Tamandua tetradactyla: one gene and its partner. The protein of the gene in region 2 interacts with the protein of the main gene of each other region in a pairwise test. Links are inferred from orthologs where the notes say so. Each region holds a gene or a part of one and is shown on either strand. Other genes may lie near its edges. The genes, in order: UNKL and BAG4.

What was found.
Region 1: the proteins of BAG4 (region 2) and UNKL interact in binary tests that used the Homo sapiens proteins (3 or more experiments, as listed by UniProt). The link is inferred for Tamandua tetradactyla from reciprocal best matches to the Homo sapiens genes BAG4 and UNKL.

Annotation. Positions count from the first base shown.
Region 1 is NC_135349.1:56,011,909-56,028,099, reverse strand, and holds the start of UNKL (putative E3 ubiquitin-protein ligase UNKL), read right to left. Parts: upstream 8,035-16,191; 5' UTR 8,021-8,034; coding exon 7,944-8,020; intron 6,837-7,943; coding exon 6,627-6,836; intron 1-6,626. Other genes in the region: UQCC4 (ubiquinol-cytochrome c reductase complex assembly factor 4), read right to left, coding at 12,400-12,775, 12,862-12,893. UniProt on the Homo sapiens protein: May participate in a protein complex showing an E3 ligase activity regulated by RAC1. Ubiquitination is directed towards itself and possibly other substrates, such as SMARCD2/BAF60b. Intrinsic E3 ligase activity has not been proven.
Region 2 is NC_135352.1:5,118,933-5,135,359, reverse strand, and holds the start of BAG4 (BAG family molecular chaperone regulator 4), read left to right. Parts: upstream 1-9,410; 5' UTR 9,411-9,443; coding exon 9,444-9,713; intron 9,714-9,992; exon of another isoform or gene 9,993-10,219; intron 10,220-16,427. UniProt on the Homo sapiens protein: Inhibits the chaperone activity of HSP70/HSC70 by promoting substrate release. Prevents constitutive TNFRSF1A signaling. Negative regulator of PRKN translocation to damaged mitochondria.

The DNA of each region.
Region 1 (16,191 bases), on a different chromosome or scaffold from region 2:
CCAAGGTGCACCTCCCCAGGTCCCACTCTCAGCAGAAACGCAGCAGAGCCAACACCTTACACCTTAGGTCCCAGAGTGGGGTCCGGGCCCCAGGGGGCAGCTCCAGCAACAGAACACCAGCACACGGCGGAGGCGCCTGACCCTCAGCCCAAGAGCAGAGGCAGCAGCGGTGAGAGGTGCCACAGGGTCTCCGCCTCGGACCCCTGACAATACAGCTAAACTCCCCTGGTTCCCCAAGGCCAGGCAGTGATGCCAGGTGGTGACCCCAGGTCGGAAGGGGTCATGCTCAAGAGACCACAAACAAGAGCTGGGTCCTGCTGCTTCTCCCAGCTCCACTCAGCTACTGTTGCCATGGCAACCGGGGTGCTGCCAAGGCCCCCAGCTGCGCTACTTCTGGTGCTGCTACCTCACCTGGGAATGAATGCACCTGGAGCATGAGCTACCCTAAACATGCAGGCGGGTGCTTAAGCAGAAGAAAATGCAGAGCCCCTCGAGCAGCTAGAGGACAAGGGAAAACGTGTCCCAGGAACAGCGGCCACCTGCTCCTCTCGGGGCCGGCCCAGCAGGTTCTTCTCTGTAGCACTTCACCCAGAGACCCCCAGGGCCACACCTGCACTACTGCCCATGGGTCGCAGGCAGCCCCGGAGCCCCACGCTGTGACGCAGCACCTATACGAGTGACCAGAGGGCCAGAGCACAGCCCCCTTCACGTGCAGGCTGCAGCACCTAAACGAGTGACCTGAGGGTCAGAGTGCAGCGCCCCCATGCTGGTGGGACTGTCCCTCCAGAAACCTGGAAGCAGCAATGGGAGGGTTGCGGAGGACAGTCAGGGGCCAGGCTCGGGTCCTGTGCGTCTCCAGGAGCACCTGGAGCGGCCACTGCCCTCCGGCAGTGCTCACCTGACAGCAAGGTGCGTCCACCAAACTCAATTCAACCAATGGTGCCCAGTGACCACTTGTCAAGATCACGCCAGGAGCCAAGCATGGGACTGCCCCACCCACACGTCCGCCCCTGAGTACACCAGTACGGCCCTAGCGGTTCTGAGCCAGGTGGTCTGGCCTGGATTTGCACTGCTGGCAATTTTACTCCTAGGTATATGCCCAAAAGAATTGAAAGCAGGGACTGGAACAGTTATTTGCACACAAATATTCATCTAGGCATTATTCACAATTACCAAACAGGGGAAGAAACCCAAATGTCTATTGATAGACAAGTAGATAAACAAATATGGTTTAATCATAGGATGGAATATTATTCAGCATTAAAAAGGAATGAAGTCCTGACGCATGCAACCTTGAAGACACTGCACTGAGTCAAAGCCGGACGCAGAAGGACAAATATTGCACAATTTCATTTTCGTGGCATTTTCGTTTGTAAAGCTGCAGGAATGCAATATACCAGAAACAGGACAGCTTTTGAGAAAGGAATTTATTAAGCTGCAAGTTTACAGTTCTAAAGCCATAGAAATGTCCAAACTAAGGCATCCAGGGAAAGACAGATTGACTCAAGAAAGGGCTGATGAGGTTCAGGTTTCTTTCTCAGCTAGGAAGGCACATGTTGACATCTGCTAGCTTTCTCTCCCAGCTTCTTCAAACAGCTTCCCTAGGGGCATTTTCTTTCTGCATCTCCAAAGGTCTTTTGCTATGTGTTCTCTGAAGCTTCTCCCAAAACGGTTCCCTTTTAAAGAACACTAGTAAGCAATTCTGCCTTGAGTGGGTGGAGACACATCTTCATGGAAATCACCTAATCACCAGATCCCCCCACCCAATGGGATCGGTCACATCTCCAAGGAAACAATATAAAAAGATCCCAATCAACAATATTGAATGAGGATTTAAAAGCATGGCTTTTCTGGGGTATACGACAGTTTTAAACCAACATATTCTGGAATCCCTAGAAATGCACGAGACAGAAAGTAGATTAGAGGTTACAAGGGCTGGGAAGCAAGTGCTTCATGAGGCCAGAGCTTCTGTTTGCAGTGATGAAAGTGTTCTGGAAAGAGACAGTGGGGACACCACACCCTGAACATACTTAACGCCACTCACTTGTTCACTTGAAAATGGTTAACGAGGCAGATCTTACATTTTATATATATATATATAATGTAATTTACATGTAAAACAGCAATTACTTTTTTTAAAAGAGAAGCAAGACTGACCAACCAAACAGCTTTAGTTTGCTGAAGCTGCCGGAATGCAATATTCCAAAAATGGAATGGCTTTAAAGGAGATGTATTAAATTACAAGTTTACAGTTCTAAGACCTTAAAAATGTCCAAACTAAGGCATCCGGAGAAAGATACCTTGACTCCAAAGAAAGGCCAAATGGCATCTGGGATTTCTCTGACAACTGGGAAGGCACATGGCTGGCGTCTGAGGTCCCTGCTCCTGGTTCATTGCTTTGTGCTTCTGTTTCCTATGGTTTCCTCTCTGAGCATCTGCAGGCCTTCCATTAGCTCCTTCAGAACACAGCTCTGGGTTCTGGCTTGCTTAGCATATCATGGGAATTGACATGAAGAAGTTTGCTGGGCTCCTCTCCAGTCTTCTGGTTTCAAACAGCTCTGGCAGATCCTGTGGATCCTTCTGGCATTTTCCTCTACATCTCCAAATGTCTCTGTCTAAGTCTGTGTCCGCTCTTTTAAGGACTCCAGCAAACTGATCAAGATCCACCTTGAATGGGCGGAGTCAAATCTCCAGCTAATCAAAAAGGCCCCACCCACAACTGGCTGTGTCACATCTCCAGGGAAACAACCTAATCAAGAGGTCCTACCCCTACAATATTGGATCAGGATTAAAAGAACATGGCTGCCCCCACAAGACTGGATTTAGAATTAAAAGAACATGACTTTTCTGGGGTATGTAACAGTTTCAAACCCGCACACATGAGTACAGAAAATAAGTGACAGTAGGAAGATGGGAAAAAACAGGCTAGGCAGTTGCCCATATCTGCCCTCTCCTTTCGGATACCATGCCCAGCAAATCTGTCAGCTCAGCTGTGCCCCCCACCCTGCCCACAGCTCCCAAGGGCTGCCCATGACTCCCTAGTCAGGACAGAAACTTCACCGTTCCCCTAATCTGGACTTCCAGCTCCAGCAAGTCCAAGACCCCCACCCCACCCTCTTAGCGCCCTCGCAGCAGCCCCCTCTCCAGGCACTTCCTACCAGGACCAATGCCACCCCTGCTCGGTCACACAAAGCAGGACGGGTCAGAGCATGGCCACCACTCAGTGACCTTACACGTTTTTCCTATGTGCATGTTACAGATTCTAACCCAACAACCTGATGGTGCTTTCCCTCAAACTAGTATCCATTAACCAAAAAGCTGTGTCTCCTTCCAGGGTGTGAGGAACCCCTGACACTTCAATGTGGCGCTGTGATGGTCAAGCCTGCTGCTTCTCTTCGCCCTAAAGCCCAGGCAGAGTTTACCCACAAGATCAGTTTTAGCCACTCAGAAGCCCCAGGCAGGAAAAAATTTGTGCCTTAGGTCCAAAAGCACCAGACTTTTTAATATTAAATCCTGACTCAAACCAGCAACAACAGTCTTACTCAGAAGGAGATACTTGGAAAAGTTTTCTCTTAAAATCGGTCCTACAGACAGTGGCCAGGCAGCCTTGGCTATTCATAGCGGGGAGCCCCACACAATCACCTTCACCCACCAGGCCAGGGGTTCTGCTCCAGACAGCCTTAGGGGGGACACGCCAGGGAGCAAGTGGGAAGGGCCCAGCCCTGTAGCCCCTGGTAACCAAGGGTCCCCACCTGCCACCAGGTGCCAGGAAGTTCCCCTCGAAGGCCACTGGCCCCCAGGAAGCCAGGTATTTTGCATCATGGGTGGGATTCCACGCTGAGGTCTTGAAGTGGGGGTGGGAGGGTGGGCAACAGACCTGAGTTTATGGGTGGGAGCAGGTCCAGAGTCCTGCGCTGGAGCCAGTCACAGCCCCTTGCAACACTTGATGTCCCTCATCGGAGGGGGTGGACCCTGAGAGACCTCCAGAGGTAAGAGAAAGTCAGGCACAGGAGAAATACCTGCGATCAATCCAGAGGTCAGAATTCTACTGCGAAGGAGGAGTAAACACTGGGAACCAGGCTTGGGAAGGAAGCCGGGTCCTTAAGGCCTCCAGTAGCGTCCTAATTCTTGCTACGTGCTGGGTATCAAAACCCAGCTAGACAGAGGCAGTCCTGCCTACCCGGAGCCGGGCGCACCTCCACCAGGGGCCAGGCGTGCCCCCGCTTCGACCACAGTTCCCACGGGGGAGGGGCCGGCAGCCACCTGGGTGGGGGTGGCCAATCGCCGCTGGCGCCTGGCGAGGGGCGGGACCGCTCAGAACAAAGGGCGTTTTCCGGAGCGACCAGCACCAGACCAGCACCACGAGTCAGCCGACTCCGCTCAGTCCCAAGGCCAGAGGGTGATCGCACGGGGAAAGGGGGTGCCCGCGGGTCGGAGGAAGGGGAGAGTGCCCGTCCACCGAGGAAACAGGGTGGCACGGGAGTGCCGCGAGGGGTGTGACCCTGGGGTGCCCGGGGAGAGGTGGCGGCATGGATGCAGGCGATGGAGGGGAAGGCCCACTGAGGAAAGGCGCATTGAAGAGCGGGGATGGCGGCCAGGGTAGGTGGGAGGATGACCGTCCCCTGGGGTCACCTCATCTGGCACCAAGAACAAGCTCTATGCTTACTTCACCTGAAACTGGCCGCAGGGCCGCTGCTCTTTGACACTCTTGTTCTAAAATAACAGGTTGGGAGAACACGTGCCCAAAAGGGAAATCACAAAAACAAAAACCGCAACTGAAATACAAGCAAGTTCGCCAGTCCTTACTCTGAAAGGTAGGTCTGTTTAGAATTCACGGCCATGCTGCCTGAACCAGAATATGGGGTTCAGCAGGCCAAAGTTGGGGCTATTTCATTTGTGCCTGATGGGAAAGTCCATCTCCAGGTGGACTGAGGCCAGGACTCAGCAGGACTCCATAGGGTCCCGCCCCTAAAACATCTCCAAGGGACAAGCAGGTCCCTCCAGGTGCTCACGGAGGTCCTGTGGGAGTGTCCCACTGCAGGCAGATGTCCCCAGGAGGACTCCCAAATAGAAAACATCACACCCCTATCCTGGCGTGCAGTAAACCAGGCACCATTTAGAACGTCAGCTCTGTGGTTCCAGTTAGCATTTCTGTAACGCATGAGTTCCACGTTATGTACTCATGCATGCAAAGGGAACTGGCTGCTGTAGGCAGGTGCTCCCTGCCACTGTGCCGTCCCAGTAAGTACTGGACCTACCTAGTGCCCAGTATTGGGGTTCAATAACTGGACAGTTCAGCTCTGGAATCCGAAACAGCTGTTAAAAGACACGTCCTTTTGTGTGTTAAAACATTACCAATTAATGCTGCCCCAGAATCCACTCTGGGATGGGACCAGGCAGCAGTGGCCCCACCACGGGACCCGAGGTCTACAGAGGTGATTGCTTGGACAAGGGCCATGAATAAAGAGGGACCAAAGCAGTGTCTCCACCACACAAATACCTCCTAGTAGGGCAGGAAGCAATTAAACACAGCATTTTCAAAACTGCACGGAAGAATAAATCGAACTTAAACAGAAATGCTTCCAATGCAGAAAGTGCAAATGGCACTTGTCCTTAAGGACAAAGCTATTTAGCTACTTAACCATCCCACATTCAGCTAAAAACTTCAGGAAATGTTTAAAGTTTATAAAGCAATCAGACAGTGATCAAAAGTTTACTCTCTGGCTGAAGGATTTTTGAAAAATACAGGAAAGCAGCCATCTTGCCAGGTTCTGTGGGGTTGGGGTGAGGGGCACTCCTGAAGCGGCAGCCCTCCCCAAGGGCATCAGGGGACTGAGCCCTCAGACCCACCAGCTCCAACCTATCCCGAGAGAAGCTGAGCAGGCAGCTCCCGTTAGGGGTCCCTACATGCCTCACCTTTAGCCCAAAAAGAAGCACCCAGCAGGAAAGAGTAAAACTCCCGCTATGGATTCCCACCCATTATGTGAATACATAACCTGACTTGTATTTCCCCATTCTACATATTTCAAAATAAAGACATCTGTTCATAACACCATTAGGAAACTTGCAAAAAAAAAAAAAATCAACCCAAACAAAATCTTGATTTCTTAAATTTTAAAAGTGCTATAGAAGTGACAGTCGGCAAATAAAATAACTTACTATCTATCCGTTTTTAAAAATTAAAAGTTTAAACAGCAAGAAAGAAAATATTCCAGATGCACAGGGACATAGAGCCAATAAATTTTAGTATAAACTGTTCCTCTGGAATCGACCACAACTAAGAAACGGCGGGCACCAGGGCTGTTATACCACATAAAGCTGGTTCTGACGAAGGTTCTTTGGAAAACTGTGGCACAGTCAAAAGTAGGAGGCAGGACAATTTCGGTTTATCCCGAAAACCCACACAGTCGCCCACACTTGCCTAAAAATAGGGAAGGCCCCCTCCCCACCGTCTGCAGCGTAAAAGCATGATCCCCACTGTGCGGCGCCACGTGTTGAGAGGTACCCAGAGGGTTTCTGACGCGCCAGGGCCACGCTGCCTGCGAGACCCAGGCCAGCGGCGACTCTGGCAATTGCACACCCAAAGGGCGCCCCGTGCGTCCCGGCTGCGTCCCGCGCGCACTCACTCGTCGCCGTCGGGGCACACGCCGCTGGCCTCGTCGTACTTGGCGCAGTACACGTCGGGGCTGTAGTTGAAGGTGCCATCGCGCCTGCGGAGGGGTCTGCGCCGACGCTGGTTTAGGAAATGCCAGTGGAAGCAGGTAAACGGCCTGTGCTGGGCGCACTTGTGCTGCAGAAACAGCGAGCACTGCTCTGTCCTAAACTCCTTTAGGTACCTAAAAAAACACACAGCGCTGCGGGTCGGGCGGCCGGGGGGGCTCCGGGACGCGGGAGACCCCAGGCCCGATCCCCGACCGCAGGCGCAGCCCCCCAAGCCCCAGGCGCGGTCTCCCGGGACCTCTGACTTCAGGCGCGGGCCCCCGATCCCAGGCACACCCCTGCCCTCAATAACTGCAGCTACTACCTCAGATCCCAAGCGGCGACAGGCAGGGTCCAGGTGAGAGGCCACCCCCGACCCCAGAGGCGGTCTCCCAGACCCTAGGCGCAGAAAGCCCCCACCCGCAGGATCCGTGGCTAAGCGTGAAACCCAGAACTCCAGATGCAGTCCTGACCCCCAAGCCTAGGTGCCACCCCAGAGCCCATGCGCCGGCCCCCAACCCAAGGCGGCAGCAGCCCAAGGCCAGCCGGTCGTATCCCACTCGCCATTCCGGCGCAGACCCCCGACCCAAGAGGCGGCCCCCGGCTCCCAAGCCAAGATGCCACCCTAGACCCCAGGCCAGGTCCCCCCCGCCTCAAGCACTATTCCTGCCCCCAGAATCCAAGCTCGGTCATCCAGACACTTGACCCCAAGCGCAGTTCCCGACCCCTGACGCTAAGCCCGTGGCCCCCTAATCCCTGGTGATCCCGCACCCAAAGTATTAGCTCGATCCCGACGCAGTCCCGACCCAGACCCCAGGTACGGACCCGACCCCGGGGATCATCCCCGACGCGGACCCACACCTCAACCATGACCCCTGACCCCGAGCCCCGGCACGGTCCCAGAGCCAGGCACCCGGCGCGCTCTCTGACACCGATTTCCGGCACGGTCCCCGACCCCAACCACCCGGACCACCCCCAACCCCCATGGCCGGCGCGGTCCCGAAGCCCCGGAGAGCGGAAGCGGCTGCGGCGGGGACGGAGCAGAGGATCGGCGGGCGGGCGGCGGCAGGGCGCGGACCCCCCCAGCCCAGGCCGCACCGGGGACCGCCCCAGGCCCAGGAGCCGGACTGCGGGCACGCGCAGGCCGGGCGCGCACGAGGCCGCTTCCCGCCTCCGGCCCTCCGCGCGCCCCGGCATCGGCGGCTCGGCATCCAGGGCGGCGGCGGCGCGGGCCCGGGGCTGACCTGTAGTGGGTCGGCTTCTCCGTCTGCGGGGGGGACCCGCTCAGCGCCGCCGCCGCCGCTTTCGAAACCGACGGCATTTTCAGTCAAAACAATGCAGCGCGCATGCGCCGCGCGGACCCGCCCCCGCCCCTCCGGGTCTCCCCCCACCCGCGCCGAGCCCACCCGCGCCCCCCACCCCTCCCGGCCCCGCCCCCGGCCCCGCCCCCCAGGTAGCGCTCGCGGGCGGGGGGCGGTCCCGGACCGCGCAGCGCCCACCGCCCCGGAAGGCGTCAGCACCCGCCCGCGCCGCGGACACGCGAGCGCAGCTCTCTCGGCCGGCGGACCCCAGCCCAAGCTCCTGCCGCGACACTGTCCGGTGGAGCGCGCGGCCTCGGCCATCCCCGTGTCTCGCGGTACTCAGCGTCGCCTGCGTCCCAACCCCTCCCCCCGAAGCCCACCGCCCTCACCCCCGCATCTTCTCTTTCCCGACCCCGGAGCCCCTCCTAGCCGTCAGCCGTCTCCGCTCCCGCCCATTCATTCTGCCAACGCTGGCACATACCCGGAGCGGATCTAGCTGGCCCCGGGACCAAGGCGAACGCGCCGTGTGCCCAGTGCTGGGACACACCCGCGGCCTGCACGCGCACTTTCACTCATTCCTGGACTCCCCGAATTGTGCTAGGTGCGGAGGCCGCAAACAACAGATCCAATTCGGGGCGGACCGAGTGGTTGCTAATGGGGCACGGAAATGTTCTACGATTAAATTGTTGCATGGTTACACAACCCTATACCAACACCCTTTGAATTATACACTTTGTGGGTGAATTAGATAGCATGTGAATTACAGCTCAATAAAGCTGTTTTGTTCGTTTGTGTGGCTCAAGAGAGTCACACCCACACTAGTTCCCATCAGGGTGGCCAGAGAGCACACACGGGGGTGCAGAGGGAAGCCAGCGCTGAGCCCCGGCAAACATGGCCCCAGCTGGGCCAGTCCCAAGAACAAGGGGTTTGCATTTCAGGAGAAAGCTTCCAGGGAGCGTGCATTATCTTACAAATGCATAGCACACGAGGCATTTTTTAAAACATCCGATGTCACCAGTAATTTTTAAAAATGCAAATTAAAATATCGAAGTGCCTTTCGAGTTGGCAGATTTTTGTTTTCAGAACAGCAACCCACAACCAATGACCTGAGCAGGTACGCCCCCGGGAAAGGGACGGCAAACCGGTGCAGACCTCTAAGTAAAGGAAGCTATTCTATGTCGTGGAACGCCAACCTAAAAAAATCCGATTCAGACAAAGATGTATGAAGACAATTGTCAGAGAGCTATCTAGCAAAAACGAGACTGCCAATCAGCCCAGCAGTTGGAAAATGGTTAGATTATGAGTGAGTTAATAACCATTTTTCCTAAGAATTGTTAGTGACAAGAAAAAATGTTCCAGTTGAGGTTAGAAACAAAGAAAAGTTTCCACACATTCGCTCCCAATTATGTCAGTCACTTGTTTTGAAATGCAAATAACAGTAAATCACCGCTAACAGGTAGGATGGATGACTATCTCCCTCATACTTTCATTTTCTAAATTACTTTTACATTATTTAAATCTTGAAACTACAGGATTTTGATATTCTTAAAGAAAATCAAGCGGAAGCAGAAGCAAGTGGGGACAGGATCCAGGAATTCTTAGGAGGAATAAACAGATCTTGAAGACGCTGGGGATGAGAGGAAGTTTAGAATAATTCCTAGGTCTCTAGCCTGGAGGAGTGGGTAGATTATAATAAAATTAAGTGGGATATGAGGCAAAGTCTCGAAAAGGGAAAGGTTGGGGCACAGTCAAGAATCTGTTTTGAATTGAAGGAGTTCAAGCAACCTGAGATGGTCCACCAGGGAACCCTCCAGGGCTTATGAAGGAAGCTGGGGGCTTAAGATGAAGAGTTTTGAGGATCTCAGCTGTAAAGATAAGAGGGGAAGTCACCCACAGGGTTATTTTGTGCTTTTGAACAATGTTTTTAAAAAACCAGGATAAGGGGGTGCAAGGGTAGTTCAGTGGTAGAATTCTCACCCACCATGTGGGAGACCTAGGTTCGAGTCCCAACCCATGCACTTCCCCAAAAAACAAACAAGCAAAACCAGCAAAACAAAAAAAATTTCAAAAATTTTTTTTGGCTGCAATAACAGGATACCCACATGGAAAAAGAATGAAACGTGACCCCTGCCATAGAGCATGCCAAAAAAAAACAAAAACAAAAACAAAAAGTCTGGGGTAATGCTCAGACTCAGGTAAAATAAACTAGGGTTTCACCATTTTGGGGGGGGGGGGCGGGGACAATGCACAGTACTGCCACAGGCTTCTAAGACTGCTCAACAGAAAGTGACAACCTCCTCTTCCTTGAAAGCATTCTCTCAATTTCCTCCTCCTTCTGTCTAATAATTTACCATCTCACTATGCACTGGAACCACTTCCACTCTAGCATGCTTGCACTGGTATACCAACACACTTTGAATTGTACACTTTAAGTGGGTGAAGTGAGAACCGTGAATTATATCTCAACAAAGCTCTTTTGTTTGTTCAAACAAAATGCTCAAATGCTGACTGCTTTATGGGGAAGTCAACACGCCAGGTAACCTGGGAAAAAGAAAAGCAACAGCCAAATTGGGAAATAAAACAAGCATACTACAAAAACAAAAGGAGTAAGACAAAACAAACAAAGAACAGTTTAAATTGACCAGTCTGTTGTCAACCCTTGAAAAGTCCAAGTTTGGGGAGGGTTTGCCCACTGTTGCCAGCTGGCCTTGGGCCCTCCTCTTGCTTATGAAAATTTTTATCTTTGTCACTGGCACAAAACCATTAATTGGAAAGACCTTCAGATATGCCCTGGAATACTTGGGATCCTTTGCATGTGGTATGATGTCCAGCAAAACAATGCTATTATCCAACTTGTCTTTTAAAAAAAAATCTAGAAAGATAAATGACAGTGTTCACAGTAGTTACCTCTAGGTGATAGAATTACTGGTGTTTTTCTTCTTTGTGCTTCTTTTAGGGCCCGTTTTTTCCAGATAAAACATACATTGCTTTTGTATGGAAACTGCTTTTAATTAAAGAAAAGATTCTTCTCTGTTAGTTCTGCTAACTTTTTATTCCCTGCAGTAGATAGTGAGAGAAAAACGTCAAGGTTCAGGCTTGAATGACTGCTGTTCAAACAGAATGGTTCACAAGCAGACAGTCACAACCACTCCAGGCCCGGGATGACATCTTAGTCCTTTGCTATGTCTGACTGGTACTACGGAACCTGAGCTAAGATGATCAATCATACCAAACTTGGTCTCTCCAATATTAAAAAGATGACATGCTTGCATCAGCACCACCTCCTTCACAAGCGCAATTCACAGATGTGTGCAGATACCTGGATCACTCAGAAACAAGACCTGAGAAATCACTATGTTATCACCCATGGTGATTCAAAACCACTGTGCAAACAGAGAAATCGCCAATTAACTTTGGCACCACAAACAGTGAGATAAAGAAAACCTTCCATAGAAGGCTAGATTCATAAAATCTTCCCTTTATGTATTTTTAATTCAGAATCAAGCAGATTTTTTCAAGCAGTCACTTGGAAAAAAAAAAGTCATTTAGGTAACCTAAAATATTGCCCATAATTTGTCAGAGGAAATATTTACGTTTTATTCTACACAGAAAGTTGTTGGGCGGGCCATGGTGGCTCAGCAGGTAAGAGTGCTTGCCTGCCATGCCCGAGGACCTGGGTTCGATTCCCGGTGCCTGCCCATGTGAAAAAAAAAAAGAAAGTAAGTTGTTGCTTTGGCAATAACAAAGAAGTGTTCAAAAGTTGAGAAAGCCCATTATTTGGGGTATAGTTTGATAATGTATTCTACAATTTACATTGAGATTTATTTTCTCAATTCCTACTCTGGAAAAAAAGAAAAACAAAGGAACTGAAAAACACAGCTGTTGGCCTACTAAAATACCTTTTATAAAAAAAGTGAAATGCAAAAAGAAAAACAAAAAGAGTTGCCTTAATTCCACGCTACCAAATTAAAATTTATTTTCAATTTTTTTAGCGTGTAAAACTAACATCAACATATGCTCTTTACACAGAGTACATAATAAAGTTTAACTCTTCTGCCAGTTATTCTGTCTCAAAAAGCAAATGACCAGCAAAATAACAACTGGATTACAAGTGTCACCAGAAACGCTTTGAAATGATTCTGTCGCACGAAGGCAACAGGAATCTCACAGCACACAAAGCAACCAAAACCTTTCCTACGGATCTGAAAGCCTTTTGGACGCATTCAATGCATCACGTGAGGCAGATACCGATCTGCTGCACCCCACGCAAGTCGGCGTGGCCTAGTGCGCCACCCCCTGATTCTTCAGTGCAGGGAACGCACACGTGAACCAGGGCAGAAACGGTCAAACGAGACATCAAGGCCTAAGGGCGGCTGCCTCTTCCCCGCCGGGCACCTCGTTAGCTTCTCGCGCCGTCGCCAGCAGGAGCTCCAAGCTCCGCAGAACGGCCACTGGACTCCGGCATCTCTTCTTGCAACACCCGTCTCAACCACTCGTCCTTGCGGGTCTCCCGCCTCAGGAAGCACCAGACGACTAACGCCACGAGGGAGAGGCAGAGGGGCAGCACTTTCCACCAGGGTCGCTGTTGCGCCTTTCCCAGGGAGTGCCCTACAGTCCAGAGACTCGGGTTGATGTTACTGGAAGAAAACTTAATGGGTCGGTCAGGGTCCTCCTCTTCCTCCCCCTCAGTCACCGACTGGGCCCGAGCCCGGGGTCCCGGCGGCGGGTGCAGGCTTCGGGAAGCCCGGCGCACAAGCCGCAGCGCCCGGACGGTCCTGGAAGGGAGAGAGCAGTGAGCGCTCCGCCAGCCGGAGCGCCAGCCGGCTCGCCCTCGGCCCCGCTGAGAGCGCATGGAACTCACCCCGCCGCAGGAACACACAGGACGCGACTCATCTCCGCCCGAGCTCCGCGGTCGGGGCCGCGGCGCGCCGCTTTGCGTCACTTCCGTCGCGCGAAGCCGGAAGCCGGACGCCGCCCAGGGCTCCACTCACGACCACAGAACGTGGGCCCGGTCGCGCAACGGAAATGAGGCAGTTCCCAGAGGCCTCTTCCGTCGTAGGCCCCGCCCCCGGAGGGCCGCACGGGCTTGCTGGGAAATGTAGTTCTTTTTTTAGTCGGGAGCCGAACGCGCCCGCCCGGTCCTCCGGTCGCCGGCCCGCGTGGAGTGGGGGCGGCCTCCTCCGACGGGCTGGCCTCTGAGAAGCGGCGCCCCCGGCTACTGCCCCGTCTCGCGAGCTCTCCGGCCCGCACCCCTGCACCCTCCCCGCCGCCCAGGGCGCACGCCCGCGGGGTCTCCTCCGGGAGCCCGTGCTAACGCCCTAGCCTGATTTCGTCGTCGGCCCCTTCCGCTCGCTGGAATTGCCTTTTCCCTTCCACGGTCAGTGCCGCCTTCTCCCTGGGAGGGAGCTCGGCCAGGACAGAGCCCGGCCTCCCCCACTCCTCTGCATCCCCAGGCTAGACCAGGCGCGCGCAGGGAACTGTGCTGTTGCGTGATGGCCGGTCCGTATCCTCGTTGCTGGGTGTTGCTCACGGAGAGCTGTGTCTGCTCCCAGAGCAGCTCAGGCCCGGCAGGCTGGGAAAGCCTAAGGGCTCTCAGGGCGACACCGGTGGATGCGCTCCTCGCTGAGCCGGGGGGCGATGGTCCCCAGCCCAAGACAGCCGGTCCTGCCAAGGCCCCGTGGGGAAGTCCTGCCACAGGCATGCCCCCGGGCCAAGCCCGCAGACTCCCGTGTCCACAGCTTTGTGGACTCAGCCTGCGAGGAGGCACTGGGCGGCCCCAGGGGAAGCTGCTGGCATCATCTGTCCCTACCGCCGGCTCAAGTTCTGCTGATGGGCCTGAGAGCCCACAGGAGCCGAGTCGCCTTCGCAGCTCCTGGGGGGGCCGTCTGTGTAACTCCATGCCCACATGTGTGTGCAGCTGTGATTTAGGTAAAGCTCATCTTTTAATATTCAGCCATACAGAATATTATCTCATGGGTACGTACAACAGAAACTACACTGTCTCACAAGAAAATAAACCAGATGCAGTTGGACTCGTCCCAGGGCAGGCTGAGGTGTTGAGCTCAAATCTGTGTTCTGTTCTTGTGGCTGTACAGCAGTTATAAGGAATAAAACCTTTTCCACCTTGTCCCTGTCACAAGAGGCAAATACAACTGTAAATCCCAGAAACCTTTGAGTGTCTCTGCTCCCCACGTGGAATTCAGATGCTTTTGTTTTATTCCAAAAGTGTGTCATGTCCCAAAAACAGTTGGGGGTGGTCGGCGTGCTAAAGGGCCGTGGTGGGTGGGAAGGCGGAACGCCTGCACTGGGGAGCCCTGCTGCCAGGAGGTGTGAAGAGCCTGTGCCGGTGGTGGGGACCCAGGCCTCACCCCCAAGACGGGCAGCGCTTCTGGCGGCAGCGTGGGTCTCAGCAAGCAGGCCCGAGATGAGCACTCCGAGGTGACCTGGACCGCCAAGGCGTGGGGGCGTCTTCTGTGGGTCCCAGGGAGGTGCGAGGTCCTTTACAACAAGACCACCCTTAGAAGTGGGGGACTGGGTAAATTTGATTTACAAAATAAAACATTGTGTTTAGAAGAAAACTGTTAATAATTTTTTACAAAAAAAAAAAATTATTTAGAAGCAAAACAACATCAACTATGCCCAGAGCTGCAGAGGAGAATTTGTACCCATGCTGGTGGCAAGATTGTTTGGAAAGCTGAACAGCCAGTGTTTGACTCTCCAGGGGAGAGAACCCCAGCTCGACGGTGGGAAGGGTCGCCTGGGCTCCCGCTTCCTTGCCCCCTTTCCGTTTCAGGTGCCCTGGTTCCGTTCAAGGTTTTGGGTGCAACTCACAGGCCCTGTCTCCAGGGCGGCAGGAGGTCCTGGCCCTGCCCCTTCCCTGTCCCCTTGTCTTCCCTGACTCTCTGCCTGGGGTCCCCCGAGGGACTGTGGTGAGGTCGCCTGGAGCTGTGAAAGGCCGCCTCTGCAGCAGCCTCTCCCGCCACGCCTCCTGGCAGAAGAGGCACCCAGGCCTCGGGGGGCCAGTATGCGCTCCCCCCCGGGGTGTCAGAGGCGCGCGGGCTCGGCCGTGTTGGGAGCCGCCCCCACCTTGAGAGGCTCGGCCCAGCCATGTTCGCAGCTGCTGTGTCAACAGGGGCACCTGTCCTCCCAGGGCCTCCTCCCCCGCCCCGCCCCGCCTGCTCCCTCTGGGCCCTGCAACGCCTTCCAGGCCTCAGAGCACCACTGTGAGCCAGATGCCGGCCTGCTCTCAGGGGCTGGCACATGCCAGATGCATCCTGCCAGTGCCAGCCCAGAGGGCTTCCTGGAGGAGGTGGGGGCAGAAGGCCCCGAGGTTAAGAGTTTTGCTCAGGCAACTGCCCAGTCAGGGCACATTAGGGACTCTGGGCACAAGCTCTGTAGTCCAGGGTAGCAGGGTGGGGGCAGAGCTGGGCAGCATGGTCAGCCGGGGATTCACTGTGCGGTAAGCAGGGAGGGGGTCGGCCTGTGTGGCCGAGTGGCCTCTTGCCTCTAGACCCCACTCTTTCTGCCCCTTGGGTCTCCTTTGTAGGCCAAAGCAGGCACGAGGGAGGGAGGCCCGGGGGCTGGACGGGGGCTGCCTGCCAGGCAGGAGTGCGCGGGGGGTACCGAGCCCCTCACAAGCCACAAACCCCACACTGAGGCCATGGAGGCTCAGGTAACAGCCACCCCTCTGTAGCCACGTGGCCCCAGGCCAGCTCAGGGTTACGCTTCTCTCCCCTGGCGCAGGTTTCTCCAGTGCAGCCCCATGGCCTCGAGCACTTCTCCACCCGGCAGCCAGGCCCAGGGTGCAGGGGCAGGAGGGCTGCAGGCCTGTCCCCTGACCCCAGCGAGCCCTTGGGGCCCGGTCACGCTGCCTCCCCCACCCACAGCCCGCGGCCCGCACCCACCCAGAGGCCAGCAGGTGGGAGCTATTGATTTCCCACAGGGAGATGATGCATCTGGGGTGGGGGGGGGGGGCGGGGGGCAGGCTGTTCCTGCCTTCTTGGGTGTGAGTCGATGCTGCCTGGGGCCTGAACAGGCAGGACATACACTTGGGCCTCAGCCCCATGCCAGGGTCCCACCAGTACCAAAATGCCACCCACCAGCCCTAGGCCCTTCCCCAGCCTGGCCCTACCAGTACCAAAAGCTTCCCGCCTCCTGACGGGGCTCCAGGGCCATCTGGAACATTGTTCAG
Region 2 (16,427 bases):
CAAGCAAAGGAAGTAGGGTGGTATCTTGGACATTGAGTGGAGCCAGAAAGATCATGCGGCCTTTTTCCAAGTACACAGCCACCAAGTAGGAATGGTTGGTGACGAGACAGAAGAAGGCTAAAAAGGAAGGTAATCCTGTGCACCCAACAAATAGAAGGAATAAAGGATCAAAATTGAAGGCAGGCTACAAGAGTATCAAGAAATTCTTAAAAACCAAAAGTGGAAGCACAAAACTTACAGTTAATGCTACCCAACATCATGATGGGCCAAGAACATTGTGGCTTCTGAAGTTAGAAAATGCCATATACCAAAAATTTAAATGAAACACATTACTTTTATCCACTTGACAGCCCCCCACCCCCCTACAAGAGAAACTGATTTGAGGGTATGGGGTGGGGTAGGGAGGAAAGGAGGGAAATGAGAATGGGACATGGTTGGGAACAGTAGTTACATGAGTAGTATTTTTGTCATAATGATAAACTTCTTATTCAAACTTGGTAAAAGCCCATTAGCTGCCAAAAGGGAATAAGGAATTAATTTCCAAAAATGTACAATTTCTTTTAGAGAAGTTTCAGAGCCAAAAGACTAATTTACATGAAAAGCTGTAGAGAAATTAGTTGAAAAGTCCATTCATAAAACTTTTATTCCACTTACATAAACTTAATACACATGTTCTTAACAATTATGCTTGGATTGTTCATGAAAATTTCAAAAGACATTAAACAAAGCTAGCCATCATCAAGTTATTTCCCTGTTAACTATTTTTACAGCACATGCATGTTAGGCAAGTATCAAAAAAAAAAAATCACAAAAGCAAAAAACCTAAAAAAGTTAAATACATGGGTTTTTTGTTTTACTGCTGTGCTTGATAAACATGAAGTAATGAATATCAAGCAACTCGTTTTTACTGCGTAGTTACTTGCACATTTGTTCTTAGGTTGCCTAAAACATTTAAATACAAATAAAATGAGTGTAGCAAAAATAATGAAAGCAAACAGCAGGTAACTTTACAAACAATGGAATGTGAACCGTTTCTGCCCTTCTCCAGAGTAAACTGGGTCACGACTTTGTCTAAAGGAACACTTCTGCAGCTGTAGTCAAAGGTGTGCACATTGAGATTGTGTATTCCACAGATACACATGGTTAAACACGTATCATCCATGGGTTATCTATTTCTACTACAGCCCTGAAAGTGCTCCAACCTTAAAGTACCCACAATAACTACACTTGTGACTGGAACCAATTATCCCTTTTATCCCCCACCAGGACAAACCAATATGTAGTAGGTAGTTTTCTTTGCTTAGACATGGAAGCAGTTTTAACACTGGCCCTTGTGAAGTCACAATGTACCAAAAGTACTATGCCAAACATTTATAACTTGTATAAAAATTCCACATCCCCATATTGGCCACCTCAAGATGAAAACAGATAACTCTCTAAATGTTAACTGGCTCTACTCCCCTAATATTAAACATAAAAACCACATGGGAAATACAGAAATTCAAATAGAAGTAACATAAACCTGTCATAAATCGTAAACAAAAAACTATTTGTGGGACAGCATGGATGACAAATGGTCTACTATGTAAATTTTAGATGAGGCAGACAAAAGTTGGAAGGCCGGTTAGTTTTCCCCTCCTTCTTCTGCTTCAGCTTCGTCTCCCTGGGTATCCGATGTCCACAATGTCAAGTTATCTCTCAGTAACTGCATTATTAGCGTGCTGTCTTTGTATGACTCTTCACTTAATGTATCAAGTTCAGCAATGGCTTCATCAAAAGCTGTCTTTGTAAGAGAGCAGGCTTTCTCCGGAGAGTTCAGAATCTCATAATAGAACACAGAAAAGTTAAGGGCTAGACCCAATCTGATAGGATGCGTCGGTTGAATGCAACGCATTCCTTTTTGCTGATTTCAAATGCCTCTTGATACGCTTGTTGTGACTGATCCACAATCCCTTTCTTGTCATCACCAGCAGCAACTTCAGCCAAGTAACGATAGTAGTCACCTTTCATTTTCAAATAGAAGACTTTGCTCTCTGCTTGTGAGGCATTAGGGATCAAAAATTTTTCCAAAAGAGACAGTACATCATTGCAGATATCTCTCAACTCGGTCTCAATTTTCTCTCTGTATTCACGAGCCATCTGCTGTTTTTTCTCAGCACCTTCCGTCTTTTGCTCAATACTTGAGACGACCCTCCAAGATGACCTACGAGCTCCTACAACATTTTTATAAGCAACAGAGAGAAGATTCCTCTCCTCATTGGATAATTCAGCTCCTTGCTCAGTTACAGACTTCATGCAGGCTGCCATGTCATCATATCGCTCAGCCTGCTCGGCCAGTTTGGCCTTCTGCACCAACTCATTTTTATCCATGACTGGATGTTCTGTGTCCGGAGTAGGTGGCAGCGGACAAACGGGGCTCAGCAGTCTCTGTGCCAATACTTTTTAATGATCTGTTCAACATGGTCTGGGATGTATCCAGGCAGTACATTAAGCTATACAGAATTACATGCCTTCATTCTTATTCTGGGCTGTATGTTTTTGGGTTGTTTAAATGATCTATCCAGACAGGCTGAGTTAGATTATTTGCTACAGAAAATTGAGATTTGGGACAAAAAAACACCTTTTTTTTCCTTCGGTCTCATTGGGTAGGTAAAGTTTTAAAATATAGACAATCTCCTCCTTACCCCTGTATTCTGATTTACCTTAGTCCCAACCTGGTAGGCTTAGTTCTCATCTCTAATTGAAGCCTAATCTCTTTTTTAATTTCTTTCACAGTTGTTGTATGTGGCAATGCTGACTTTCAGACCTGCAGAACTCCTACTCTGAGTCTTAGGAGTTACACAGGTACCCAAAGTTCCAGGGAAATACCACATAAATACCACAGTACCTCAAAATCTAGAAATAACAATTACAGCTCTGGACTAAATGTGACTGCTATAAGAGCTTACAAGCTAGGTCTCAGTTTTCTTATATAGTATTTTCTAAACGTGACCATGCAACATTTGTTCTTTTGTTTCTGGATATCAGTTTCTATATCTGCAAACTAGGAGATTTGGCCTAGATATCTCTGTGATCTTAATTCTAGAATTATTTTCCTCTCAACTTATCTCACAATTTGTTTGGAACCAGCAATGGTTATAAATACAAAAAAAAAATGCCTTAGATATTTAAATGAGGACTATGAGAATAAGCTGGAGGAGAAATCCAATATTACATATTGAAAGGTATGTGCTGTTCTGGGGTCTAGATATACTGTAGAGAATAAGGCTCTTATCCAGACTGGAAGAGACGAATCTTAAAAAGTGCATCAGACAACAACAACAACAAAAAAACAAAAAACAAACAAAAAAAAGCAAAAAAAAAAAAAAAAAAGAAAATTGAAAAAATAAAGAAAAGAACAACAACAACAAAAGTGCATTAGAGACTTCCGGAGAAGATGGCGGCTTAGTAAGACGCGCGGGTCTTAGTTCCTCCTCCAGAACAGCAACTAAAGAAACAGAAACAATATGAAACAGCTCCCAGAGCCAGGACAGAGACCAAAAAGACAGCGTACCCCATTCTGGAACGGCTGAACGGGCAGGGAGAATCCGCTGCGGTGAGATACCCGAGGGGCGCGCATTTTCCCGGCCGGGGCGGCTGGCGACTGGGGTCCCCTCCACGCACGTGGCTCCCTGGTCTGACTGGGAACATTGGATAGCGGGGCCCACCCGCCACGCTTGGCGTCTCGGGCCAGCTGGGCAATTTGGACCGGCACTCCCCAAAGCCGCGGCGGCCGGCGACCCCCCCCCTCCACGCGCAGTTTCCCGGGCCGACTGCGAGATTCAGATTGGCAAGTTAAAGGAGCCACAGCATCTTTTACTGGTAGGACCCGCAGACAGATGAGCGCCACGAGCGCCACCTACTGGGCAGGAAAAGAAAAACAGAGCCCAGAGATTTCACAGAAAAACCTTTCAACCAGCTGGGTCCCACACCCAGGGAAATCTGATCAAATGCTCAGACACCAGCAGAAAATAATGGATGACGCTCGGAAAATTGAAGATATGGCCCAGTCAAAGGAACAAACCAATAGTTCAAATGAGATACAGGAGCTGAGACAACTAATGCTGAATACATGAACAGAAATGGAAAAACTCTTCAAAAACCAAATCAATAAATTGAGGGAGGACATGAAGAAGACATGGGCTGAACAAAAAGAAGAAATAGAAAATCTGAAAAAACAAATCACAGAACTTATGGGAGTGAAGGACAAAGAAGAAAGAATGGAAAAAACAATGGATACCTACAATGGTAGATCTAAAGAGACAGAAGCTACAATTAGTGAACTGGAGGATGGAACATCTGAATTCCAAAAAGAAACAGAAACTATAGGGAAAAGAATGGAAAAACTTGAGCAGGGGATCAGGGAACTGAATGACAATATGAAGCGCACAAATATACGTGTTGTGGGTGTCCCAGAAGGAGAAGAGAAGGGAAAAGGAGGAGAAAAACTAATGGAAGAAATTATCACTAAAAATTTCTCAACTCTTATGAAAGACCTAAATTTACAGATCCAAGAAGTGCAGCGCACCCCAAAGAGAATAGACCCAAATAGGCGTTCTCCAAGACACTTACTAGTTAGAATGTCAGAGATCAAAGAGAAAGAGAGGATCTTGAAAGCAGCAAGAGAAAAACAATCCATCACATACAAGGGAAACCCAATAAGACTATGTGTAGATTTCTCAGCAGAAACCATGGAAACTAGAAGACAGTGGGATGATATATTTAAATTACTAAAAGAGAAAAACTGCCAATCAAGACTTCTATATCCAGCAAAACTGTCCTTCAAAAATGAAGGAGAAATTAAAACATTTATAGACAAAAAGTCACTGAGAGAATTTGTGACCAAGAGACCAGCTCTGCAAGAAATACTAAAGGGAGCACTAGAGTCAGATACGAAAAGAGAGAAGAGAGGTATGGAGTAAAGTGTAGAAAGAAGGAAAATCAGATATGATATATATAATACAAAAGCCAAAATGGTAGAGGAAAATATTATCCAAACAGTAATAACACTAAAAGTTAATGGACTGAATTTCCCAATCAAAAGACATAGACTGGCAGAATGGATTACGACCCAGCAATACCACTGCTAGGTATCTACTCAAAGGACTTAAGGGCAAAGACACAGACGGACATTTGCACACCAGTGTTTATAGCAGCATTATCTACAATTGCAAAGAGATGGAAACAGCCAAAATGTCCATCAACAGACGAGTGGCTAAACAAACTGTGGCATATACCTACGATGGAATATTATGCAGCTTTAAGACAGACTAAACTTATGAAGCATGTAATAACATGGATGGATCTAGAGAACATTATGCTGAGTGAGTCTAGCCAAAAACTAAAGGACAAATACTCTATGGTCCCACTGATGTGAACCGACATTCGAGAATCAGCTTGGAATATATCATTGGTAACAGAGACCACCAGGAGTTAGAAACAGGGTAAGATAATGGGTAATTGGAGCTGAAGGGATACAGACTGTGCAACAGGACTAGATACAAAAACTCAAAAATGGACAGCACAATAATACCTAAGTGTAATGTAACTATGTTGGAACACTGAATGAAGCTGCACCTGAAATATAGTTTTTTGTTTGTTTGTTTGTATCTTTTGTTTTTGTTTTTTTTCTTTTTCCTTTTTTTATATATATTTTTTATTAGTATTATTATTTTAATTCTCTTCTCTATATTAACATTCTATATCTTTTTCTGCTTTTTTGCTAGTTCTTTTCCTGAATCGATGCAAATGTACTAAGAAATGATGATCATACATCTACGTGATGATACTAAGAATTACTGAGTGCATGTGTAGAATGGAATGATTTCTAAATGTTGTGTTAATTTCTTTTCTTTTTTTTGATTAATAAAAAAAGTTAAAAAAAAGTGCATTAGAGCTGCTGATTGGTGATTTTTAAGGATGCAGCTTCAGTAGTATAGTGATGAGAAAAATGAGACTGTGGGTCTAATAGAAGTGGTTTATTGCAGTTGGTCAGGATGTGGCCTTATAAGCTTATATTCCTGGTCAAGGAAGATAAACAAGAAAATTACCTGCTGTGATTAGTACAATGAAATAATAAACAACATAGCAGAAGAATATGATGAGGGGAAAGGGGTAGTAGCATAGAAGGGGTGGCAAGGGAAAATCTTTCTTAAAGGGGTAACTTTGAGTTAAAATGTAAAGAATAAAGAATAAGCCTGTCCTAGAATAGCCAACAAAATTTCACTCATTCATTTCTTTAATGCCATGCATAATATACTTCCTAGATGCGAAACAGAGGAACAAGACAGTGACTCTGCCCTGAAGGAATTTATGGTCTCCCTGGGGCTACAATTAAGTATCATAAGAAAGGAACTGTTAATTATATAAGACTTCAGAGAGAGAAACTATATCTAGCTGGAGGATATAAATAAGTTGGACTTAAAAGTTTTTGGCCATGGAAAGAATGACCGGGAAAGGAAGGAGAAGAGAAATTCGTTTATTAGGCCGAGGAAAAAAGAAAAGGCTATTTATTCATAAGTTTTGGCTGAAAGTTGAGGATATGGAGGGAAACAGGAGATGAAGTCAGAAAGGTATTATTATGGTTAGGTTGAGTTTGGGTCTGACTTCATAGAGAACAAGAAAACACTGAAAGCTGATCTATCAAAAAAAAAAAAAGGGAGAGCAGTTAGATGATTCCCCTATTTGAGACACAAAAAAGGGATCTGAAGTAAGGTAAAGAAGGAAGGGACAGGAGGAGAGGGTTAAACCTGTAGGTATAAGTGATAGGATCTGTCAAGTAACTGAGTTTGTATGGGGGGTATGTGGAGGTGTTGAAGAAGTGAGTTAACGAAGTATCCAAGTTTTGAGTCATCACATCAAAGAGGACCATTTACCAAAATTTGGAAATAAAAGAAGCAAGGTCAGGAAAGAAGTTTATTACCTGTTTGTGATTCTGAAGTATTATCAGGACTTCTAGGTAGAAATGTCAGTATGCTGGAAATGTCGGAATGGAATGCCAGAGGTCAGAATTAGAGCAATTTTAGACAAATCCACCACTAAGAGTCAATTTAATTATTAAAGTCCATGAGATTTCCTGGAGAAATAAAGAAGCAGGCCAAATGCAGAACCCAAGAGACCACTTATTTTAGGGAATAATAAGTTTGAGAGATTAAAAAAAAGCAAGTATAAGTGTCAGAGAAGAGAGTAGAATTAAGAATACAGTGGGGACAGTATCCAGATTGGAAGAGATGAATCTTAAAAAGTGCATTAGAGCTGTTGATTGGTGATTTTTAAGGATGCAGCTTCAGTAGTATAGTGATGAGAAAAATGAGATTGTGGGTCTAATAGAGGTGGTTTATTGCAGTTGGTCAGGATGCTGAGTCAAAGGACAACAACTCAAGAAGTTTAGGGGGTGAAGATATGACAAATGGATGGGAGTTTCATGGGGAGACATACCTGACAAAAAAATCTGAGGATGGAAAGACAACTACATATATGAAGGGAGGGATCGGGGTCAGGGTGGAGTACAAAATATGGGAAAGGTTATTAATGGAACAAATATCCTGAAGCACTGGGAGAAGAAAGTAATAATAGACATGAACAGAAAGAGAAGAATACTTCCTAGTCTAATAAGAAGATTGGTGAAGATACATAAGACTGAGGAGAGGAGAAAATGTGACTATATGGTGTTGCATATCAAATGACTTCAAATTTCTCAGTAAAGGAGGGGGCCAAGAATCTATAAAGGGAGAGGAGTTAGAGGCTGGAAAACAAAAATGATTTTCAGTAAAATGGTAGTATATGTTAGGGTCCTCTAATAATTCAGATATATAAAAAGGGAGTGAAGGCAAAATGGTATCCCTAGGTAACTAAAACAAAACATTTCATTACACATTATACGTAGGTTTGTATAGCGCTGTTCATATATGAGTTAGGTTTAATTTACACTACATTTCCTTTCAATAGCAAAATAACTAATTTGGATTTTTAAAAAATACGATCTCAGAAAACCATAAAAGAATTTAATTTGCATACTCTCTGCTACTGACACTGGAACTGCAGAGATAATTCAAACTTGTTTGAAACTGTGTGTAAACCATTTTGCAACCATTTTTACAAGTTAATGAGACAAATTCCATAATTAAGACGTTTTACTTGAGGAATAACGCACACATAAGAGTTTAGAAAAAGGAAAGACAGAACAACTATAAGTGGCTCCTCTTACTTTTTCTGTACTCCCGTTCAGGACAGTAGACAGGAAGAAGGGATTTTCTTAGAAAAAGCAAGAAATCTGAAGTGACTAAGCCTTTCCAGGAAAGTCAATACCGTGTCTGGCAGCTGTCTCTACTACCATAACCTGAAAGTGTTAAAGACCTTTAGGGTAAGATTACACACTGCCGCACAGCACAAAGCCTACTTTTACTGCCAATTAAATTCAACTGTTGCTGTCTTAATAATGCCCTTTCCCGAAGGATTCTTTCTCAAAGTATTCTCATTCATTCACCAGTAACCTGGTATTTCAAAAACAGAGCAGGTGGGAGACAGTGGACACAGGAGAAGTCTGCGGGGCCACTCTGGCGTTCGGTCCTCCGCTGCTCCGTCTCTTGGAAGCCGGAATGATTCCCACAGGTCGTGGCTTACCAGCCTGGGGACCAGGAGAGGCGTGATGGAGGCAGGAGGGTAGAGAGTGGGCAAGCGGAGTGTCCTCTGGCTACGAAAGAAGTTAGCTCCGAACACCTAGAAATGAGTTCAAAGCACACGGCCCCCGCCCGGGACTTATTCCACGGGCTTCCTCCGAAGAGGCGCCCGCAAGGGTCTTACCCCAGACTTCATTCGGAGGAGATGAGCTACTCACTGTCGATGTCCTCGATGAGGCTGGCGGTGCCGGGCATATAGTTCATTTTTGAACTGAGAGAATGTTGCCGGCGCGTCCTATCACCTGGTTCCTTCCACCGCAGTCGCCGCCTCGGCGGGTCCGTGACCGGAACCCGCACCGAGACCAGCACCAGCACCCGGGCTCTCAGCAGCCGGGGCCCGTCGGAAACGCCTCCATCTTGCCACGCCCACTTCCGGTGCGCAGGCCCGTCCTCAGGAAGAGGCGGGACCGTTATGTGGTCCCGAACACCCGCTCTCTTTCCCTGAGGAAGAGGGGAAGGGGAGTCTAAGTCGGACAGATGGTGGGAAAATGTATTCTCCCTTTTGAGGAACCCGGTACCTCCCCTCACTCTCTTACTTCGAAGGCCCCAAAGTCTCAAACCCCGGTCGCTCTGCTCAGGACCCGGCAGTAGAAGGGGCGGGCCCGGGCCTGGGATTGGCTGTGGTCGCCCTTCCCCGTGGCTGCTGGGCCGTTCGCTCTCTCCGGCGGGCGCCTGCGCGATGGGCCGGCCGTGGGGGGCGGGAAGCGCTTCTGGGCAGCGGATCCTATGTCGGCCCTGAGGCGCTCGGGCTACGGCCCCTGTGATGGGCCGCCCTACGGCCGCTACTACGGCCCCGGAGGAGGAGATGTGCCGGTGCACCCACCGGCCACCATATACCCTCCTCGCCCGGAACCTCCCCAGCCCCACGTTTCCTGGCAGGTGCGCGGGGGCGGCCCGGCCGAGACCTCCTGGCCAGGAGAAGGCGGAGGAGGCGATGGCTACTATTCGTCCGGGGTCACCTGGACAGAGCCGGGTCGAGCTGGAGGAAGCCACCAAGTAAGCTTTTCACCGTCCGTCGAAGGGAGTTGGGAGGGGGGGAGGTGTCTTTGAGGGTGAGGGCTGTTTAGGTTGTTGGACCTCCAGGATTCATAATGGTCGTGTTTCATTCTTTTTATCCTTTTGGAGGGTTGGGAAGACGGAGACCGGGCTCCCTGCTGGGGATGGATGGGGCGGGGTACAGGCTTGTGTTCTTCTTGTCCTCCTTCTTTCTGCTTTGGTATAATAAAATGAGTGAATTACCGTTAAAATAGGAATAAGAGGTCTTGCGTCGCCTGCTCAGTAGCAGGCTGCAGGCCATCTCTTCTGGGAGACGTAGGGTTGGAGGTGACTCGACTCCGCTTCTCCAGCTCTGAACAATTTATCCTGCGTGGCTCCCCGCAGACCGGCTTTCCACTGGAGGAGAAAGTGGCCGCGGCCCCCGTCGTCACTCGGCAGCCCCTTCACGGGGAAGGAGACTGAGGAAGGGGTAGGGATCTGAGCCTTTAGCCTTTTGCCCAGACGTTCTGCCCGAGATTGAATCGTGAATAGGGTTATATGGTTGTAAGACACCTTTACGTGGATTGCTTTTTTTTTTTTTTGCTCTTTGCGTCGACGCCGAGGTAAATACCATTACAGCATCCCGATTTTACGAATAAGAAACTGAAGGCTCTGAGAGGTTAACTTACTTGCTTAACATTCTAGGACCTGTAGCCTTTATTCTCTCTCTACCTGCAGGAAATAAGCCTCTATTTTGTTAAAGCAATATTCTTAGTAGGTCTTAGTCGGGAGTTTTCAGTATATGTGGCGGCGTGCTTCTTTTCCTTTAGACGATTATAGCATCTTTTATTTTATTGAAAATGTAATAGTGAAATCTGTTTACATTGCTGATGGGAACTTAAAATGGTGCAGATGCTTTGGAAAACTGGCAGTTCCCCCAAAAGTTAAGTATAGAGTTACCATATTACCCCCCAATTCCATTCCTGGATATATACCCAAGAAAAATAAAAACATGCCCGAACAAAAAGTTGTAACTCATGTTCATAGCAGGATTATTCATAAGGGCCCAAAAGTGTAAATAACCCACATGCCATCAGTTGTTGAATGGATAAACAAAATATGGCACAGTGATACAATGGAATATTATTCAGCAATTAAAAAGGAACGAAGTTATTGTGAATTACTGATTATATATGTAGAATGGAATGATCACATATTAAGAATGTTTGTGTTTCTTTCCTGTAATTTTTTTAATTAATAAAAAATATTAAAAAGAAAGGAATGAAGTACTGATACACGCTACAACATGATGAACTGTGAGAACATGCGGAGTGAATGAAACCAGTCATAAAAGAGCACGTATTGTATAATTCCATTTATATGAAATGACCAGAATAGGCAAAACCATTGAGACAGAAAAATTAGTGGCTGTTGGGGGAAGAGGAATAACTGCTAATGAGTACTAGGTTTCCTTTTGGAGTGATGAAAATGTCCTGAAGTTAGATGTAGATGTGATTGCACAACTCTAAATACACTAAAAAACAAAACAAAACAAAACAAAACACTGGACTGTGTATTTTAAAAGGTGGATTTTGTGATATGTGAATTATATCTCAATAAAAAATTTTATGGGAAAAGAAACATGTAATAGTGGGAGGTCCATATTTTCTTTGCCTAAATCTGGAAATGTAGGCTAAGGGACTTAATCCCATGATAGAATTATGAAATGCTTGGCCTATAAATAGCCAAACCAGACTTAAAAGCAATTAAAGGGAAAGAGAGGGCCACTGAACTTCTTATTGAGTGTGTTATATTATGAAACCAAAAGTGTGTTTTCTGGGGTAGGGTTTGATAGGGATTGGGTAGGATAGGGAAATTAAGTTTTGTGTATTGTGTAGGCAGTTGTCAGGTGTGGTTGGAATGTAGGTATGTAAAAAGGGTGGCCCATAGTGCTGGAGTAGTTGGAGGTAAAACTGGAATTTTATAATAGGCACTTGTAAACTGTTACAAGATTTGGACATATATTTCAGGTTGACAATTCTGAAACATGAAAAGTATTGGATGCTTATGCAAACTTCAGGTAGACCTTGCTACCTATCATAACCTGCCAACCCCCAATGAGGATCATTCCAGCCAATCCTGAAGAACACTTTGGGCAATATATAAGATTCCACGAGGGCTCCATGCACTAAAAGAACTTTCCAGAAACCTACAACCTCCAGATGGGTCCCTGGTCCAGATAAGTCCTGAAACCAAGCCCAGCCTCTCCAGAACATCAGATAGTTTCATCTCCCTACCCCATTTTAGTGACAGACCCTTCCAATATGGAAAATTTAGAATTGGTATAGCTCAAACACCCCTAAAGGGAGGGATGGGAAGATCAAAGGTGATGGTGGAATTATACAGAGAAGATAGGATTTAACAAATGAATATGAATACTGAATCATTAAATTGATATCTCTTTTTAGTCTCCAGTATTAGAGAGCAGCTAGAAGTAAAAACCTAAAATTGTGAAATTGTAACCCATGTCAAACTCTGAAATACGTTCTACAACTAATTGTGGTGTTGTGCTTTGAAATTTGTAGCTTTTTTGTGTGTATGTTATTTTTCACAAAAAAAAAAAAGAAGGAAAAAAAGTTGATTGTAATGATAAAAAAATACTCAAGTCCTCTAGCCTTCTATATTCTGGAGCAGCTAGAAAAGGAAAATCTGAGAGGATCGTGTGGTAGCCCATGACAAACTCTGGCATCTGGCCTGTAACTACTTGCAGAAGAGTGCTTTGAAAACTATTGCTTTTTTATTTCTTTGCTTTGTATATATGTTATACTATATAATAAAACAAGTTAAAAAAAGTATTGGATGATAACTAGTTACACAGCAATAGAAAACTAATTAGAAATGGCATAGCTATTGTCTACAAATGTTGCAAACTTTTGCTTCCCCAATTCCTTGTTTGTCTTTTAACTTTATTCTTCTTTTTAAAGTTGTGGTAAAACGAATGTATTAGTCTGGGTTTTCTAAAGAAACAAAACCAACAGGAGATATTCGTAAATATGAAATTTATAAAGGTGTCTCACACAACTGTGAGAATGGAAGAGTCCAAAATCCGTATGGGCTGTGAAGCTGGCAGGTCTGATGAAGGTCATGAGGAACTCCACAGGGGTAGCTTGCTGACTGAAGAAATAGTGAAAAGTCTCTTTTCTCCCTGATAAGTCTTCAGCTGATTGACTTATCTCAGTTGCAGGGGTCTGCCGTTAGTTGAGCTCAGATGTAATGAGCCACAGCTGCAATCAACTGACTGATGATTTAGTAAACCAGCCTTTCAGTTTATCAACTAGCCACAAAATATCCCTGTAGCAGCAGTTAGACCAGTGCTTGCCGGATCAGACAACTGGGCGTCATTACCTGGCCAAGTTGACACCAGAACTTAACCATCACAATGTGTATAACATAAAATTTGTCATTTGAAACCATTTTTAAGTGTACAATTCAGTGGTACTTAAATACGTTTGCTGTGTTGTGCCACCTTCAACACCTTTTATTAGCAAAAGCATTCATTAACCAAAATGGAAACTCTGACTCTGTTAAGCCATAATTCCCCATTCCCCCCTCCCCACAGTCCCTGGTAACCTCTAATCTTTCTTTCTTTATGAATTTGCCTATTCTAGACATTTCATTAAGTGGAATTGTACAATATTTGTCCTTTTCTGTCTGGTTTATTTCACTTAACATAATGCTTTCAGAGTTTGTCCAGGTCATCATATGTATCTAAACTTCATTCCTTCTAATACTGAATAATATTCCATTGCTTGTTGTGCTGGTTTGAATCTATGGTGAACCCCTGAAAAGCCATGACCTTTAAACCTCATTCAGTGTTGCTGGCCGGGAGCTTTTTGATTGTTCCCATGGAGATGTGAACCACCCAGTTGTGGGTGATAACTTTTGATTAGATGATTTCCATGGAGGTGTGTCTCTACCCATTCAAGGTGAGGTTGCTTACTAGAGTCCTCTAAGAGGGAACCATTTTGGAAAGAGCTACAGAAGCTGCGCAGCCAGAAAACACCCCCGGGGAGCTTCATGAAACAAGAAGCTGAAAGAGAAAGCTAGCTGACTTCGCCTTGTGTCCTTCCCAGCAAGAGAGAAACCCTGAGTGTCGTCAGTCTTCTTGAACCAAGGTATCTCCCTGGGTGCCTTAGATTGGACATTTATATAGACTTGCTTTCATTTGGACAATTTCACAGCCTTAGAACTGTGAATTTGCAACTTAGTAAATTCCTCTTTTTAAAAACCATTCCGTTTCTGGCAATTAGCAAACTAGAATATATATATATATATACCACATTATTTTATCTATTCATCAGCTGATGGACACTTGGGATATTTCTACCTTTTGACTATTGTGAGTAATGCTGTTATGAACTTCGGTGTACAAGCATCTGTTGGAATCCGTGTTTTCATTTCTTTTGGGTGTATGCCTAGGAGTGGAATTTCTGGGTCATATGGTAATTCTATGTTCAATTTTTTTAAGGACTGAGCGAACTATTTTTCATAACAGCTGCACCATTTTGCATTTCTACCAGCAACGCACTAGGGTTCTGATTTCTCCACATTATTCCAACTCTTGTTATTTTCTGTTTTTTTTAGTAATAAACATTCTAGTGATGTGAAATGGTATCAAACTGTGGTATTGGTTTTATTTTATTAATGACTGTTAATGTTAGACATATTTATTGGCCATTTCAATGTCTATTCAAATCCTTGGACTCCTTTTTTTTTATTATTGTTTTTACTGAGAAATCTTCATGTACAGTCCAACCATATTATACAATTAATGTCTTGCAGTATCATCACACAGTTGTGTATTTGTCACCATAATTGTTTTTGGAACATTTGCATCACTACAGAAAAAGGAAAAAAAAAAACAAAACTCATGCATACCATACACCTTACCCCTCCCTCTCACTGACCACTAGTGTTTCAATTTATTTATTTTTTTACCCTTTATTCTCCCCATTAGTTATTTAATTTTTATCCTTATTTTTTTCCTTGCCCCCTCTCCATTTTTTTCTTTTGTTTCTAGTTTATTTTGCAATATAATATCTCCCTGGTTCATTCACCTCATTGCATGCCTCAGAACTTCGTTCCTTTCTGTAGCCACGCAATATTTAAACATGTGTATACACCACAGTTCACCATTTTACTTTTCAGTCAGTATTCTAGTTTGCTAGCTGCTGGAATGCAATGTACCAGAAACAGAATGGCTTTAAAAAAGGGGAATTTTTTTTTTTTTAGATTTCCAAGTATATTTTAATAAGCAGCTATACAACAGATTTTAAAGTTTCACATGGGTTACAGTTCCAAAATTATATACTTTTTTATTACTGTTCCAAGACACTGGGAGACCAAAAGAAATAGCAGTATATTGATTCAGCAGTGATATTCGTTTGTAAAACCCTATCTTCTCTGTTATATTATTCCTTCTCTTTTCTTCTCTTTCGTGAAAAATAACATATATAAAAAAACAGCAATACATTTCAAAATACATTTCAAAGCACATTGCAGCAATTAGTTGTAGAACAGATTTCAGAGTCTGATATGGGTTACAATTCCACACAAAAAAGGGGAATTTAATAAGTAGCTAGTTTACAGTTCTAAGGCTGTGGAAAAGTCTAAAAGCAAGTCTGTGAAAATGTCCAAATAAAAGCACCAACAAGAGGTTACCTTTACTCAAGAAAGGCTGATTAAGTTCAGGGTTTCTCTCTCAGCTGGAAAGGCACATGGTGAAAATGACGGTCTCCTTTCTTTCTCTCCAGGCTGTTTGCTTCATGAAGCGCCCCCAGGAATGTATTCCTTCTTTATCTCCAGAAGTGGCGTGGGCTCTCTACTTTCTGGCTCTGTTGCTATCAAGCTTTCTCCAAAATGCTTCCTCTTTTAAAGGATTCTAGTAAACTAATTAAGACCCACCTGGAATGGGTGGATTCACACCTCTCTCTATTCAAAAGTTCATACTCACAATTGGGTGAGTCACATCTCCATGGAAATAATCCAATCATGTTTCCAATTTACATTATTGAATAGTAATTAAGAGAAATGGTTGCTCCCACAAGATTGGTTAAGATTAAAACATAGCTTTTCTAGGGTACATAATCCTTGCAAACTAGCACAGTCATTGTTTCCTTCAGCTACCTCCAGGCATTGGGCATCATGTATAATGTCCAAAGTCAACAATCCATGTCTCACATTATCCTCACTTAGTTGTGCAATCATCAGCATTCTCAATTTTAGACAATTTTCATTGATCCCAAGAGAAGAATAACCGATAAACACACCCTCACCAAAGAAAAAGTCCAAACCTCCCCTAACTCTTGTCCTCCCCTTCCCCAATTACTTATCCCTTGTATTGCTGTGGCACTGTTGATGTCTTCTTTTTATTGTTAATTTTTTTTTATTGAGAAATCTTCACACACATACATTCTGTACTTGGTGTACAATCAGTGGCTTAAATATCACATCATTGTATATTCATTACCATGATTGTTTTTTAGGATGTTTGCATTACTCCAGAAAAAGAAATAAAAAGAAAAATGAAAAAACTCGTACATACCATACACCTTGCTCCTCCCTTTCATTGACCACTAGTGTTTCCCAATTTATTTTACCCCTTATCCCCCCTATTATTTGTTTATTTATTTTCTGTATTTTTTACTCATCTGACATACCCTGGATATAAGGAGC